2 linked regions of the Arabidopsis thaliana genome follow. The protein of the gene in region 1 interacts with the protein of each later gene in a pairwise test. Each region holds a gene or a part of one and is shown in the gene's direction. Other genes may lie near its edges.

Region 1 (6,785 bases):
TTGGAATGTTCATCAGAAGAAGATAAGTTTCTCCGTTTACTTCTTCTGACATCATCTATCGTTTTCTCTTTTTCCAATACATCATCTGCAGATCTCTTGTCCACATACTCCAGACGAAGCTAAAATCAGACAGAGAAAAGTTAAGAGTTAAAAGATTAACAGAAAATTCAATCATTCAGCTATAGTGCTTTCCATTAAACTAACTATAACAAAAAAGGAGAAAGGAACTCACAACAGTCTTTCCATTTCCGGAATCATCATCTTCGATATCACTTTCTTTCAATTTACGTGCATAATGTCCAATATTGCCAGTCTCAACATACCGTGATGCGTCTTTGAAGGATTGAAAGATATACTCACTTTTAGGGTCAATGAAGAACTGCAAAATCAAAAACAAGACATGTCCAAGAAGAATCACATAAGAGATTTTCTAAAGTGAGCTTATGTGGAAAAGACACAAAATGTACTTTTGATCAAAGATGATGTTATCACAAAGAGAGTAGAGGGTACAAACTGGATCTCTTCTGGTTTTACGGCCTGATCTATTTGTTATTTCAAGTTTCTTGATCCATCCTTCAGGTAAACCTTGAGCAGCAGATTTCTCAACTATAACCTGTATCACTTAAACATAAAGAGTTTTTCATTTTAAGAGACGTATAAATGTCAAATCTTTTTAGGGATCACAAAGAACAAAGTAACATTGTCTTCAAACATATAAACAACACAAAACTCTCAGATATTCTGTGCTTATGAACTTTCCATGAACAACCTAATACCAGACCCTTGCCAATATAAATGTGATTCATCTCAAAACTTTCCCTTTGCATACGCGAGAGGTACAAAGTTTTAGTGCTTACGAATATTACAGTATTCTCTCGAAGATGGTTACTTAACAATCCAAATTCATTTTCACAAGATCTATTACTCTTAATGTCTAACCATCTCAGTAAAGTAACCATATAATTCCTTTTCACACGAAGTAAACTAAGAGACAAACTTTTAAAAATTCAAGAAAAACTTAAAAAAAATAAACATCTCCAATCATGCACACAAGTAATAAGAGCTTTCTAAGCCACAGTGGAACCAAGTAAAATCAATTGAGTTCAAAATGTAGCTACATAACAAAGCTTTGATCAAACTACATCATCTATAACAAAACAAAAAGTCAGGTCAAGACCATTTTCAGACACTTAATCAACTAGACCTCTTCTCTTTTGATCACATGTCATCTTTCCCTAAAAGCTAAGCATTGCATGCAAGAGAAAATCACTCAAACGTCACAAAAGACTTCACCTTTTTCCATCATTACAAAATCATACAATCAGAAACTAAGAGTGAATCAAAGTATTTGGCACTTCAATAAAGATAACTACAATTTCCACAAAAGGAGCTAACAAGAACCAAACATGCAAAAGACAATCAAAATTAAGAAAAGGGTTTAAAACTCATAAATCACCTTATCCTTTCTCCCATTCTTCCTCACTCTAATTTCCACTTTCCTCTCAGCCGACAAACCATCAGAGATCCCTTCTCCGTTCATCTCTCCGGTCACCGTAAAACCACTTTCCTCTCTCTCTTGTATCCCTGATTCACAACTCAGAATGGTTTATCAACTCAAAACGCCAAAACCCATCAAGAATTGTCGGATTCAGATAATGGACACCGTCGGAAGTTATAAAGAAGGAACCTTTTTATTTTGTCTGATTGTGTGATTTGGTTCTGTCTCCACTAAGGTAAATAAGAAAAATAGTAGGATTTAATGGGGAAGAAGAAGAAAGGGTTTACACGTGTAGTGTGGAGGAGTTTCAATGGAGATTCCCCGATTTGAGAGGTTCAAGAAAACTCAGTCCACCAGCACGCGAGTCTTCTGGCCCAACGCTTCTCTTCTCTGATTGCAATTTAGCTCATTTTCTCCATTTTATTCTCTTGTACTGTTTGTTGTTTACTTCCATTGTTATTGTCCCAATTTTAAAAAAACTTACACTGTATATTAAAAAACATTTGCTTGATTTGGTTATAAAATCTAATTGCAAATCTATTTATGATGATATTTTTTGGGAAACATTTAAGACTTTGTTATCATTTTTTGACCCAAAAGAAAAAAAAAATGTTATTATTGTAAATGTTAGGATTGGAAGATTTATCATGAGAAGAAAAGTGAAAAATACTAATATAGTCAATTATGAATTTTCATAAATCTGAATTAAATATAATTTATTTTTACTTAATATATAGTTTTAATTACTTTTTGTTTAAATTTATGTTATTAAATTTGGTATTTGTATATCATGTTTAAAAGATTTAGAAGTATGATTTTATTCTATTTCTAGTGATTTAATTATTGAAACTTTGATTTTTAAAAAAGTTTATGTATTAATAAATTATTTGGATTGAAGGTTATATCAATGTTATAAAATGTGTTTTAAAATCTGAAAAGTGGTTGATTTTTTCTTTTTAAATTCTGCATCCACGAAACTTATTTTTCTTAAAACTTATTTTTCTTTTCGAGGTTATGATTCTTTTTAGTTTTTTTTATCAAATTTCATGATGAAAATAACTGAATTGAACATCAAAGATTTTCAGAAAATACTCTACTGCTTTTTTCTTAACTATATTCTAGCCATTTACATATCTAAGCTTGATGTCTTTTCTATTTCGTCGAAAATCTATCTATTTTACGGCAGAGACTTGAAACCCGAATTTTGACATATCAAAAACACTAACACAATCCCATGTACTACATTATCATTTGTATTTTACTTATAGAAGAAAATAACTTTTTATTTAAAAATTGTATGGTAAAAATAAAGATTAGTTCCCTAATAACTATATAAAAAATCTTATTCGGTCGTTTTAGCTGTATTTAACTTTTAAACCCAAGAAAGAAAAAAATCAATCAACCAAGGAAGTAGTACAACAACAAGAGTCAAAACCCAACAACTCTCTATCTAGCACAAAAGCCTGACTTTTACAAAGACAAGCCTTTTCAACACACTACTGATCTTGAGAATCCTCTCTTCAAAGCCATGGCGTTAGAACTATGGCAAACTCTCAAAGAAGCAATCCATGCTTACACAGGTCTTTCTCCTGTTGTCTTCTTCACTGCTCTAGCTCTCGCCTTCGCCATTTACCAAGTCATCTCAGGCTGGTTTGCCTCGCCGTTCGATGATGTTAACCGACATCAGAGAGCTAGATCCTTGGCTCAAGAGGAGGAGCCACCGATTCCTCAGCCTGTTCAAGTCGGTGAGATCACGGAGGAGGAGCTTAAACAGTACGATGGCTCTGATCCTCAAAAGCCCCTTCTTATGGCTATCAAACATCAGATCTATGATGTTACACAAAGCAGGTGAAATTTCTGAATCTAAAAAGCGAAATTAGGTTATGGGTTTGATTCATTGTTTCCTCTAATCTTGTTTTAGCGTATAAAGACTTGGACTTTGCATACTTTTATGATCTATAAAGCTGTGAGAATCGTAAAGTTGTTCACTTTGAGAATCAATTTCACAAAGGAGTTTTGTTTTGAGAATCAATTTCAGAAAAGCACATTGGAAAAGTTGATCCTTTTTGTTACTTTTATACAAGAGAAAGATTCAAAGGAATATGTTTTTGTTGTTGATGTTTGCTAGTGATTGAGATCATGTTGTGAAATATCTTAGCTCTATCTTCGAGTATAATCAATCTCTTAGACTGGTTTTAGTGTCTCAAGTGTTGTGTTTGTAATGAAAGGTTGGATTTTTATTGTCTTCCTCAAATCTCGTTTTACTCTATAACAACTTGGACTTTGCATAGTTTTATCTATGAAGCTGTGATATCCATAAAGTTGTTCACTTTGAGAATCAATTTCACAAAAGTTGTGCTTTTCTATGTAATCGAGCTTTTGAGTGGCATAGTGTTAATTTACCCTTTTGCTTCCTTCATACAAGAACAGGATTCAAAGGAAGTTGTAATATGTTCTTGTTGTTAATGTCTGCTTGTGGTTGAGATCTTTAGTGAAAACTCTTTGTTAATCTTTGAGTATAATGAATTGATCATCTTCTTATGATAGTCTAGTCTGGTTTTTGCGTATTTAAATTAAATGTTGTGTTTGTGATGAAAGGTTTGATATTTATTGGTTTTGTAGGATGTTCTACGGACCAGGAGGACCATATGCTTTGTTTGCAGGGAAAGACGCTAGCCGAGCTCTTGCAAAGATGTCATTTGAGGAGAAAGACTTGACTTGGGATGTCTCTGGTCTTGGTCCCTTTGAGCTAGATGCTCTTCAAGATTGGGAGTACAAGTTCATGAGCAAGTATGCTAAGGTTGGTACTGTCAAAGTGGCTGGTTCAGAACCTGAAACCGCATCTGTCTCTGAACCCACAGAGAATGTTGAGCAAGATGCTCATGTAACCACAACGCCTGGGAAGACCGTTGTTGATAAGAGTGATGATGCTCCTGCTGAGACTGTGTTGAAGAAGGAGGAGTAGAGCCCATTTCCAAGATTTGCTCTGATTTGTCATAGAGACCAGTTTTATGAAAAGGATTGTAGAATCTCTAATGTTGAAGTGTCAATGATAATCTTGTTTTACTTTCCCAAAAAATAAAGATTGCTGATTAATGATAAGAAAAAAATGTTTTATAAACTGCATATCAGAAGGCGTTGCATTGCATGATTACAATGTAGTCGAGTTCATACTTGTGGTTTGTGAATCTGCATGATTAATCTGGAAACTAAAACATTAAACCTGATCCTTTTTTTGTAAATTCTCTTCATCCTTTTGGTTACTACTATAGGAAGTTTTTAAGTTGGTCACTAAATCCATATCAATTGGGAAATAGAGTATTCAATTGTGATCCTCGATGTTTAAGAATTGGGGCAAAGAAGACAGTTGACCACGTTCTTCTGAGTGTTCCTTGCATTGCAGATATGTGCGCTCGATCTCCTCAGCACTATGGAAATTTCGGTGTCGTCGGTATTTGCAAATTTGGATATTCTTTTCTTGGAACAACCTGGCTCTTCAAAAGATTTAACCTTTCCATGGATTATTTGATACATTGGAAGGCACGTAATGATAAGGTTTTTAATGATACATTTGAGAAACTGCACAGCTGCAAGAACATAAGACAAGTACCTTTGAACAACGGTCTTTATTACAAAAACTGGAGTTTGAAGTCACAAATTAATGTTTTATAAAATAGTTCATTTTTTTTGGTAAACATGTGAAGATTTTATAGATAGTTGATGGAAGGAGACTCGATATGTTTTCAAATATAGGTTGGATCGGTTTTCATAACGACATAGAAGGATCTCTTTTTAGAGTTAGGAATCTATGCATAAGCCTTTCTCCTATGATCAAGCATCAAAGTACATCGGTAACTATCTCAATGGACTGTTCAAAGCTAAAAGAAAATTGACAACTTCCTGAACATTTTAGCCAATTTTCTCAACATATTTGGAATGGTTTGCAAGACTCAAATATTTGCTCTCTTCTGGCTTTCTGTTATTCTTGTAATTAGAATTGTCTTGCTAACTTGTTAGCTAGCATGTTGTTCACCACTACATTTTCATTATTTTAAGTATGTAAGACCTATAGTTCTATATACACCATCGATTTGGATTACCGAACCATTTTGATATATGTGTATGTATTTCAGTCGACAAAAAAAAAAAACTTCTAAGATCAGTTTAAACTGAATTTTGGTTATCGCCTTCTCTGCGATCATGGATTGGGTTGGACCTAGACATATGGGCTTAAGATACGTTTTACAAGCTGTCATGATGAATACAATTATTGTCTTAAGTGTCACGAGATATTGAAATCGTCAAAATAAGCCAAACATGCACCAAGATATCAACGCACATGTAGTTATTATATAGCAATAGTATTCTAAACGTAATGAACCGTCGATGTATCGACGTGTACTTTTTGCATTCACTTTCTTTTGTCTTCAAAAATAAAATGAAAATCAGAAATAAAGAGGTGTAATATTATCCACGTAGGAGTTGAGATCTACGACGACCAAACTAATCGTTAGGAAAGGTTTCAAAATTTGAGGTTCTTATCCAACCAACGCTAACGTAATGCTAATCTCGTGTTTCCATTTCTTCTTCCTTTAATGCGATGTCTCTCTGCACCCAATAATTAAAAAAAAAGTTTCTTTACATTTTTTCTTCTAAGAGAATTTTTTTGGCAAGTTGGTGACATGGTGTACTTCCCATACTTATCCATATCCCATTGCTCTAACTTTTTGTTGCTAAAAGCTAACTTAAGGAGTGATGAAGATTATAACTCATAATCAATCTAAAAGATAGACTCTTAACCATTTCTAATCACCACAATGTTCAAAGATCATATTTGGAGCTAGTGGTTATTTAGCCATGTGCATGGTCTTATTTTGATAGATTACCTTTTTGGATTGTTTGAACAAAAACATAAATACATGTAGCTAATTTCGATATATTAATTACTTTTCTAGTTGGAACCATTCGGAGAACAGCAAGTACCAATAACGTGAATGCATTTCCATTTAATATCACACAAAAGAAAAGTTCCATGTATCATGAATTTAGCAAATTCCATTTATAAATATTTGGCTTAACTAAAATTATATACATGGTTTCTTCTACATCTAGTAAAAAAAAAAGATAGATAAACCATGATACCTATGTATATGTATTTATATTAAATTTAAATATACCCCACATTTTTTGTTTTCGTCAACAAACAAACCACTTTATAGCTTATATATACACATCACACACACATATGAATGTGATGTTAATATAGTTTCGTGTGGACCTAACTAAA
Region 2 (8,587 bases), on another chromosome or scaffold:
TCTATTATCGGCCATTCGTCTAGGTCCTATCAAACCATAATTCCAGACAAAAATATCAATATTGTACTTACAACGTAAAATTAAGAATGTAAGAATTAAAAAAAACAGCGTTCCAAAGTATCTATATAAGTACAGATGACTTTTGAGTTTACATCGACACATGAAAATGTGCTCAAACACTAGCAGACAAACTTTTAATCAGAATCAAACTTGACAGCAAAAAAACTCAGTAATAATTTAATACTAAATTAGGAGACAACACAAGTAATCTGATAGATCTAGTTCGTACATGAACATGCTTCAGACAAAAGTTGTCTATACATCTAACTCCTTTCTTGGAATATGATCATATAAAAATGGTTTCTTCCACTTGACTTTTTTTTTGTTACAGCTACTATCGAGACATCACAAGAACATTCATTGAACAAGTCAATCCGAAATTAACAAGTGTTAATACAAAATTCATGCAAAACACTGACTTTTGATATGCAAATCCAGATTTCGCACTACTAGAGACTATCCCCACTCAAAAATAACAGCTTTTTTGCTGTATCAAACAATGGTGGGTCCATTTTAACCACTGACCGTGATTAGCGAAATGAATATAGTGTTTACCAACAAAACTTTATGAACCCACAAATCAAAAAGCAATCACAAACCCAAATTTTGGATTCTCACAGAGCAATCAACAACTAATTGAATTCTCTTAATACTACTACTGTTCAGAACCAATCAACAACAAACAAAGCAAAAAAAAAGTAAACTTTATCAATGTGTTAAAGAATTCAAAACTTTGATATAACCTTGGATCCCAAAATGAGAGCGCCGCGTTCGAGAAAGAGCGTGAAATTGCTGGTGAGGTTGAAGCTTCCAGAAAGCCACGTGCCCTCCGGGACATTGAGCTGGGCCCCACCCTCCGCCGCAAAACCTTCAAGGTGCCTTACGGCGCGGCGGAAAGCGGCCGTGTTCGACGTCTTTCCGTCTCCAACACCGCCGAAATCGGTAATCGACATAACGATCCGGTTAGGGAACGGGTCGTGATTGAAAAACCCGGAGCAGGTAACAGGGTCGTCATATTGAGAAGTCGGGATCCAGAGAGGGAGAAAAGAATTGGAAGAGATTTGGAGAGAGAGAATCGCTAAGACGGTGAAAACAAGGAGAAGAAACGCCCACGAAGGTCTTGTAATGGCACTCAATACTGTGGTCGGATTCTTCTCCGGTTCCATTGTTTTTTGGAAACAGAGAGAAAACTCAAAAGCCCATGAAGCAAGCTCTGAGATAAAATTACAAACAGAAGAATGCTAAAGTGGGACTTTTAGATGGTTGGAGAGAATTATGCATGTGTGTGGCAATGATTAGCGTAGTGTGGTGGTGACAACAAACAAAGGTGGAGGAAGATAGAAAGTCGATAGATACCTTACCTCGAAAATTCGTCTCTCTCTTTGATTATTTTTGTATATATAAATAGAAAAAAGTAGTAGTAAATAAGAAAATTGGATACAGACACAGATATGTCGTGAAAAGGGCACTAAAATATTGGATGGTGCATGTGAATCGTCAAAAAGTGGCAAGGAGAAAGTGAAAGTCTTCACGAATTATATTTTGGTTTATATATAAAAGAAGAAGAAAGAAGAAGAAAGAAGAAGAAAGAAGATGGATGATACACAATCGGTCACGGACTCACGGGTAGGAAGGATTGTGAGGCGTTACAATCTCGTCAGACTTCCAAGTCTTAATCTGATGGGCCTTTAAATAGCCTACTGTACTGAGTTGTTTGTTGTGTTTTTGTTTTGTTTTTTAATGCCAAACTAAGGTATATGTCCGTATTTTATTGCTGGCAACATATACTCTGTCCGTTTGTGTTTTTTGTTTTTTATTTCATTTTTCCTCAAAATTACTTTTGTTCTTTTAAAAATATTAAATGGCATAAATAGTTAAACTATCAACCAGTAAATTATATATGATACAATAATGTTTTTTGTTTTGTTTAATTCATTGGACCAGATGGATTATTCAGCTTACATTTTTCAATATTGAATTGTAATTTTTTAGAGCTATAATCTTTAAAAAAGAATAAAAAAATCAAAAAAGCTTTTGCTCATCTTTGGAATAAACGAACTTGCTATTAAGACCAAGCCCAATAAACAATAAAAGCCCGAAAAAATAGAGCTGGGCCGGTAATTAGGATTATGATGATGGTATATAACTCACTATCAACTATCATGAGTTCATGACCATCATGGTTTATATCTAATGTCATATGATGGATGATGATAAGGTGGGCGAACATAACAAACATGATTCGGAATGAAGTCGTGCGTCTTTGACTTTGACTAGCTCTAAAAAAGCTTTGAAAATGCTCGTCCACGTCATCATCCTCTTTGTCGTTTTCTCAATCTTAAATGTCATTTTTTTAATATAGTTTTCACAGTACAACAACTCAACCCAGTAAAATCCCTTCTTTAAGCAAAGAAAATAATTAAAATTCGTCTTCCTTCCTTGCTCTCGGCGATAACTTGGTTTCTCTCCTCTCTCTCATCTCTCTTTGTTTCGACCCTTTTTTAGTATATTTCCAGGAAATATCTTCTTCCTCCTTTCGTTTTCTCTATCTCAGTTTTCTCTCTTCTCAGCATTAAGTAGTCAACGGTCAGCGATCTCGGCGTTCCTTCTAATCGGAAAAGTCTAGCTTCAGTTTCTTTTTTTTTTGCTTTTTTGGTTTCCGCGATTAATCGATTTGGGTATTTTGATTTTCTCTTCAAATTAAGTCAACGGGTGGATACGCGTTGAGAGGGCTTTTCTCGTATTCTGCTTCTAATTTCATCATCTTGGTATTACCTTGTGTGGGTGGTAGCTTAATCGAAGGATTCGAGATCCCTTTTATCAGGGGTTTTAACAATGATGGATTTTCTCTGATGAGGGATAGTTCTAGGGTTTGTTTTTAATCTCTTGAGGATAAAATGGAACGAAGATTAATGATCCCTTGCTTCTTTTGGTTGATTCTCGTTTTGGATTTGGTTCTCAGAGTCTCGGGCAACGCCGAAGGTTTCCCCTTTCTCTCTCATTCTCTTTCAATTTTTCATTCTTTCCAATTAAATTAGTTTCCCTTGTTGAGTATTTTGATTAGTATAGGCTTATGAGAGCTTGTTCTCACCTAAAGAAGGCATTTTTAACTTATCTGTTACTTGTTTTGCTGTATTGACTTGAGTTATATTTGGGTTACATCTGTTTCGACTGATTCCAGTGATTATGTATCCTCGTGACACTTGATGATTGCAAAGTTTGATTTTTTCTTCTTCTTTGGTTAATTGTAGGTGATGCTCTAAGTGCACTGAAAAACAGTTTAGCCGACCCTAATAAGGTGCTTCAAAGTTGGGATGCTACTCTTGTTACTCCATGTACATGGTTTCATGTTACTTGCAATAGCGACAATAGTGTTACACGTGTGTAAGTTTCTTTCTATATCTAGCCAAGATGATTCGGATTTTCGCATCTACTGAGAATTTACTTGAACTTCATTTTTGCTCAGTGACCTTGGGAATGCAAATCTATCTGGACAGCTCGTAATGCAACTTGGTCAGCTTCCAAACTTGCAGTACTTGTAAGTCATCTTTTCTTTAAAAGGCCGTCTTTTAACTTTTGGTGTATGTGGGATGTTAAAAATGTTACAATGTTCCAAATAACTGCATAATTTTGCATTATCATAGATTATTAGTTATATATCTTTCCGATCTTATGGTGAAATTAATATTAAAGAATGGTAATGACAGGGAGCTTTATAGCAATAACATTACTGGGACAATCCCAGAACAGCTTGGAAATCTGACGGAATTGGTGAGCTTGGATCTTTACTTGAACAATTTAAGCGGGCCTATTCCATCAACTCTCGGCCGACTTAAGAAACTCCGTTTCTTGTATGCACCATATTCTACTCTCTTCTTTTAATACGTTTTTAATAAGCAGCCTAATTATTGTCTTTAGTTTCCTTGATCGTGTTTGTCTTCCTGTAAAAGCTATTCGTGCAACGTGTTACATTTGTAGGAGTCAGAAAGTAGTGTCGCCAAATAGATGCTACGTTATTTTACTAGATGAAAAGGTGTTCTCTTGGAGACTAGGATGTTGTATAATATGGTCTATTTTAATTATGAGCTTTCGTAAAAGGAATCAGAACTCTATCCTTGTGTTCGCTTAATTTTACTGGAACAACACAAAGTTCCGAATTCAGGTGACTGTCTTTTTGGTTGTTCTCGTGTGTCACCTTTGTGATCTTCAATGGTAGTTATTGACTCGCTTATTTTGTATGAAATCGATTTGGTTCTGGAAGAATGAAATTCTATCAAAGATAACAATATTCTTCTGCCTTAGAATTTAAGCGCTAAACCCTATTGTTACTTATTAATTTGTGAGTGCTCTGTAAATCTAGAGGGTGAACGCATCTAAAGTAGTAAGTCGCGCTAATTAGGAAAATATACTTGATTTTTCAATCAGCTTCATATCTGTTGGATGAGATTTTAGAACAACCCCTACTTTTGAAAGTCTTTTAAAGTTTGTATTTTTGCTCTCACTATAAACTCATTACTGGTTAATGTATTTCCACTTATTCATGACATTCTCTTTTTGTATTGGTGGTTAGGCGTCTTAATAACAATAGCTTATCTGGAGAAATTCCAAGGTCTTTGACTGCTGTCCTGACGCTACAAGTTCTGTGAGTGTAACTTTATCTCTCTCAAATTCCTCTGTGTTCATGTTTCTGATTATTGTTTGGCCGATCTTGGCATTAAGTCAGAAAATGATATCATCTTATAATGCAGGGATCTCTCAAACAATCCTCTCACCGGAGATATTCCTGTTAATGGTTCCTTTTCACTTTTCACTCCAATCAGGTTTTGCATCCTGCTCCTAGTTTAAATCTTGGTGGAGAGGTCAGAATGTTTGATTAATTATTTGAAATTTTGCAGTTTTGCCAACACCAAGTTGACTCCCCTTCCTGCATCTCCACCGCCTCCTATCTCTCCTACACCGCCATCACCTGCAGGTTTTTTTTTGTATATGTCTTTGTCTTTGAAATGTTATTCAACTGAATAAGTAAACATTTTAAGCAGATCCATTAAGTATTAAGAAAGAGATTGTTCATTTCATTCTTGCAGGGAGTAATAGAATTACTGGAGCGATTGCGGGAGGAGTTGCTGCAGGTGCTGCACTTCTATTTGCTGTTCCGGCCATTGCACTAGCTTGGTGGCGAAGGAAAAAGCCGCAGGACCACTTCTTTGATGTACCAGGTTAGCTAAACTTGCTTTACCTGTTTCCTCATTAACACTTCTCTTGCTGATTTTTTTTTATTACCGTCTTTTTGCAGCTGAAGAGGACCCAGAAGTTCATTTAGGACAACTGAAGAGGTTTTCATTGCGTGAACTACAAGTTGCTTCGGATAATTTTAGCAACAAGAACATATTGGGTAGAGGTGGTTTTGGTAAAGTTTATAAAGGACGGTTAGCTGATGGTACTTTAGTGGCCGTTAAAAGGCTAAAAGAGGAGCGCACCCAAGGTGGCGAACTGCAGTTCCAGACAGAGGTTGAGATGATTAGTATGGCGGTTCACAGAAACTTGCTTCGGCTTCGTGGATTTTGCATGACTCCAACCGAAAGATTGCTTGTTTATCCCTACATGGCTAATGGAAGTGTTGCCTCCTGTTTAAGAGGTATCTCTCATCTTGTGCCTTTTTCTTTGACTGCAATATTTCCGTCCAATGGTTGCCTTTTTATCCGTAGTAATCTTATATTTTATTTTCTCCTTAGAACGTCCCGAGTCCCAGCCACCACTTGATTGGCCAAAGAGACAGCGTATTGCGTTGGGATCTGCAAGAGGGCTTGCGTATTTACATGATCATTGCGACCCAAAGATTATTCATCGAGATGTGAAAGCTGCAAATATTTTGTTGGATGAAGAGTTTGAAGCCGTGGTTGGGGATTTTGGACTTGCAAAACTCATGGACTACAAAGACACACATGTGACAACCGCAGTGCGTGGGACAATTGGTCATATAGCCCCTGAGTACCTTTCCACTGGAAAATCATCAGAGAAAACCGATGTCTTTGGGTATGGAGTCATGCTTCTTGAGCTTATCACTGGACAAAGGGCTTTTGATCTTGCTCGCCTCGCGAATGATGATGATGTCATGTTACTAGACTGGGTATATACATATATGAGTTTCCCACTTGTATAGTTCATTATCTGTGTTACCTCTATTTGTGTTAATTATTCATTTCGACAGGTGAAAGGGTTGTTAAAAGAGAAGAAATTGGAAGCACTAGTAGATGTTGATCTTCAGGGTAATTACAAAGACGAAGAAGTGGAGCAGCTAATCCAAGTGGCTTTACTCTGCACTCAGAGTTCACCAATGGAAAGACCCAAAATGTCTGAAGTTGTAAGAATGCTTGAAGGAGATGGTTTAGCTGAGAGATGGGAAGAGTGGCAAAAGGAGGAAATGTTCAGACAAGATTTCAACTACCCAACCCACCATCCAGCCGTGTCTGGCTGGATCATTGGCGATTCCACTTCCCAGATCGAAAACGAATACCCCTCGGGTCCAAGATAAGATTCGAAACACGAATGTTTTTTCTGTATTTTGTTTTTCTCTGTATTTATTGAGGGTTTTAGCTTCTGCTGCTCCATATTATTGGTTCTTAAGTGAATACATGAGGATCAGATTGGGTTTGTAAGTGTTATATGATGAAAAAGGATTTGAATGTTGTTGAAAGCTAAAACCCAAACATGTCTTAAGCTCACCACTTGAGGATTGTTGCGCACTTGATTCACAAATATGTATCCCATCAATTATTCTTTTTCACCGTGCGTCAGGTTTCTTTTCTTACCGGTTTCTGTGTTATCATGTGATTTCTAGATCCGGAGATTGTTCAGAAGAAAAGGAGACTTTTGCCTTTAAATAGCAATTGGACAAGAAAATGCAACCAAAGTATATTACTTTTTGATGGATATCTGAACCACACAAGCAATAAGTATACAACTGCATATTACGAGAGTACACAATTTTTACATAGTAGCCTAGAAGATTCATGATTCTTCATATAACAAGAGTAGAGAACTTATTATAAATACAAAAATCGTAAGTAGATGTGGTCTAGCCTAATTAATACTCCGACAATTTTGACGGACTTCACCTTGAGAGCCAAGTTTAACATCAAGATTGCTCATCTTGCGCATGGCCTGTTGGAAATCAAAGAAGAACTTGGCTTGGTTAAGTGCATAGCCGTTAACAAGATTCCTGGTCCTTGGTGTGTTGAATAAAGTTTGGTCTGAAAAGAGGACTCCTGATTTCATCTGAAGCGCATTGAAGTAAGCATTGTCGAAATCGTTGCGCGTAGCATCAAAGGGTTGCTCTGCATTGTCACCCGCGCTGCATGTTTTAGAGAGAGTGTTTGCAAAAGTCGAGTCTAATGAAGAGTCTGGGACGGTAAGTCTAGCCTTGAAGGAGGAGCATCGTGCAACTCCTAGGGTATGTGCTCCTATATATATATCCCCACAAATTATTAAGTTAAAACCAAATTAGATTATCACACACAATACACATATATTAGTTCTTTAAAGAACTGACCAGAGAGAGCAACAACATCTTGTGGAGTGAAACCACGTTGGCCAAAAGTTTGAATGAGTTGAGAGGCATTAAGAAAAGGTGAAGGTAGATTTCTTGTATCTTCTATCTTTGATCTTTTACCATCAAACCTTCCTTTCGGTATGTCATAATATGGACCACCAGCCTAACAATTTCAATTACTAATTATGTTAAGTACACTAATTAATCATATTTACTATAATCACATAAAGGTAATTCAAAAACGTGATCAAATAAATTACCCAAAAGACAGCATCTCTAGCAGCCATGGCAACTATATCTGCGCATGATACAACTCCTGGACATCTATTCTCGATTTTCTCCTTTGCATCATCGATGATCTCGTAGCCACGTAGACTCAGATTCGCAGGCGAATCCTTTTCCGCAGTGTTGTCTTTCGTTGAATCTAGCAGAATTGACGCATCACATCCCTTATTATGAACCAAAAATTACACATTAATTTTAAGGGTTTTTCTACGAAAAAAACACAATTAATTAAACAGAAAACGTTAAGTACCTCGATGAAACAGTCGTGGAACAACATACGGATAAGACCAGCGGCTAAAGTGGGATCGGCTTGAAGAGCATTGTTAACACTGTTCTTCACAATCTGTTCAGCGAAAGGACAGCTCATCATGTAGTAAGTCATACTTAATCCCCTCGCATGAAAAGGAAACCCAACGATGGCATGCATCAACAGAACCATGCTCACTATATTTGCCCTAACCATCTTATTATTTTGTTTCTTAAATCTAGTCAACATGATAAAGATCAGTATAATTAAGATGTTTAATTCACTATGTATATCTCTTATATATAGAGAGAAGGCAGTCGCACTCAGACACTGAGACACGCTTGCTTCGTAATTCGTATTGGAGTGGTTGGAACATGGAATACATATCATTTTGTATTAGTTGGTCCCATAATGAGTTGGAAGCAGATTAAAGTTTTGGGATAGTG

What was found.
Region 2: the proteins of MSBP1 (region 1) and BAK1 interact in a two-hybrid assay, tested with the Arabidopsis thaliana proteins (one study listed by BioGRID).

Annotation. Positions count from the first base shown.
Region 1 is NC_003076.8:21,210,095-21,216,879, forward strand, and holds MSBP1 (membrane steroid binding protein 1), read left to right. Parts: upstream 1-2,845; 5' UTR 2,846-3,026; coding exon 3,027-3,346; intron 3,347-4,120; coding exon 4,121-4,463; 3' UTR 4,464-4,517; coding exon of another isoform or gene 4,518-4,525; 3' UTR 4,526-4,748; downstream 4,749-6,785. Other genes in the region: MBD13 (methyl-CPG-binding domain protein 13), read right to left, coding at 1-119, 233-379, 515-613, 1,457-1,540. UniProt on the Arabidopsis thaliana protein: MSBP1 can bind to multiple steroid compounds with different affinities. Negatively regulates cell elongation and brassinosteroid signaling. May act as a coreceptor with BAK1 and enhances its endocytosis.
Region 2 is NC_003075.7:16,084,659-16,093,245, reverse strand, and holds BAK1 (BRI1-associated receptor kinase), read left to right. Parts: upstream 1-2,468; 5' UTR 2,469-2,957; coding exon 2,958-3,042; intron 3,043-3,311; coding exon 3,312-3,444; intron 3,445-3,526; coding exon 3,527-3,598; intron 3,599-3,767; coding exon 3,768-3,911; intron 3,912-4,038; coding exon 4,039-4,179; intron 4,180-4,630; coding exon 4,631-4,702; intron 4,703-4,808; coding exon 4,809-4,880; intron 4,881-4,955; coding exon 4,956-5,032; intron 5,033-5,144; coding exon 5,145-5,276; intron 5,277-5,353; coding exon 5,354-5,695; intron 5,696-5,792; coding exon 5,793-6,187; intron 6,188-6,268; coding exon 6,269-6,592; 3' UTR 6,593-6,935; downstream 6,936-8,587. Other genes in the region: AT4G33440 (Pectin lyase-like superfamily protein), read right to left, coding at 1-26, 804-1,226; AT4G33420 (Peroxidase superfamily protein), read right to left, coding at 7,141-7,520, 7,610-7,772, 7,870-8,058, 8,145-8,531.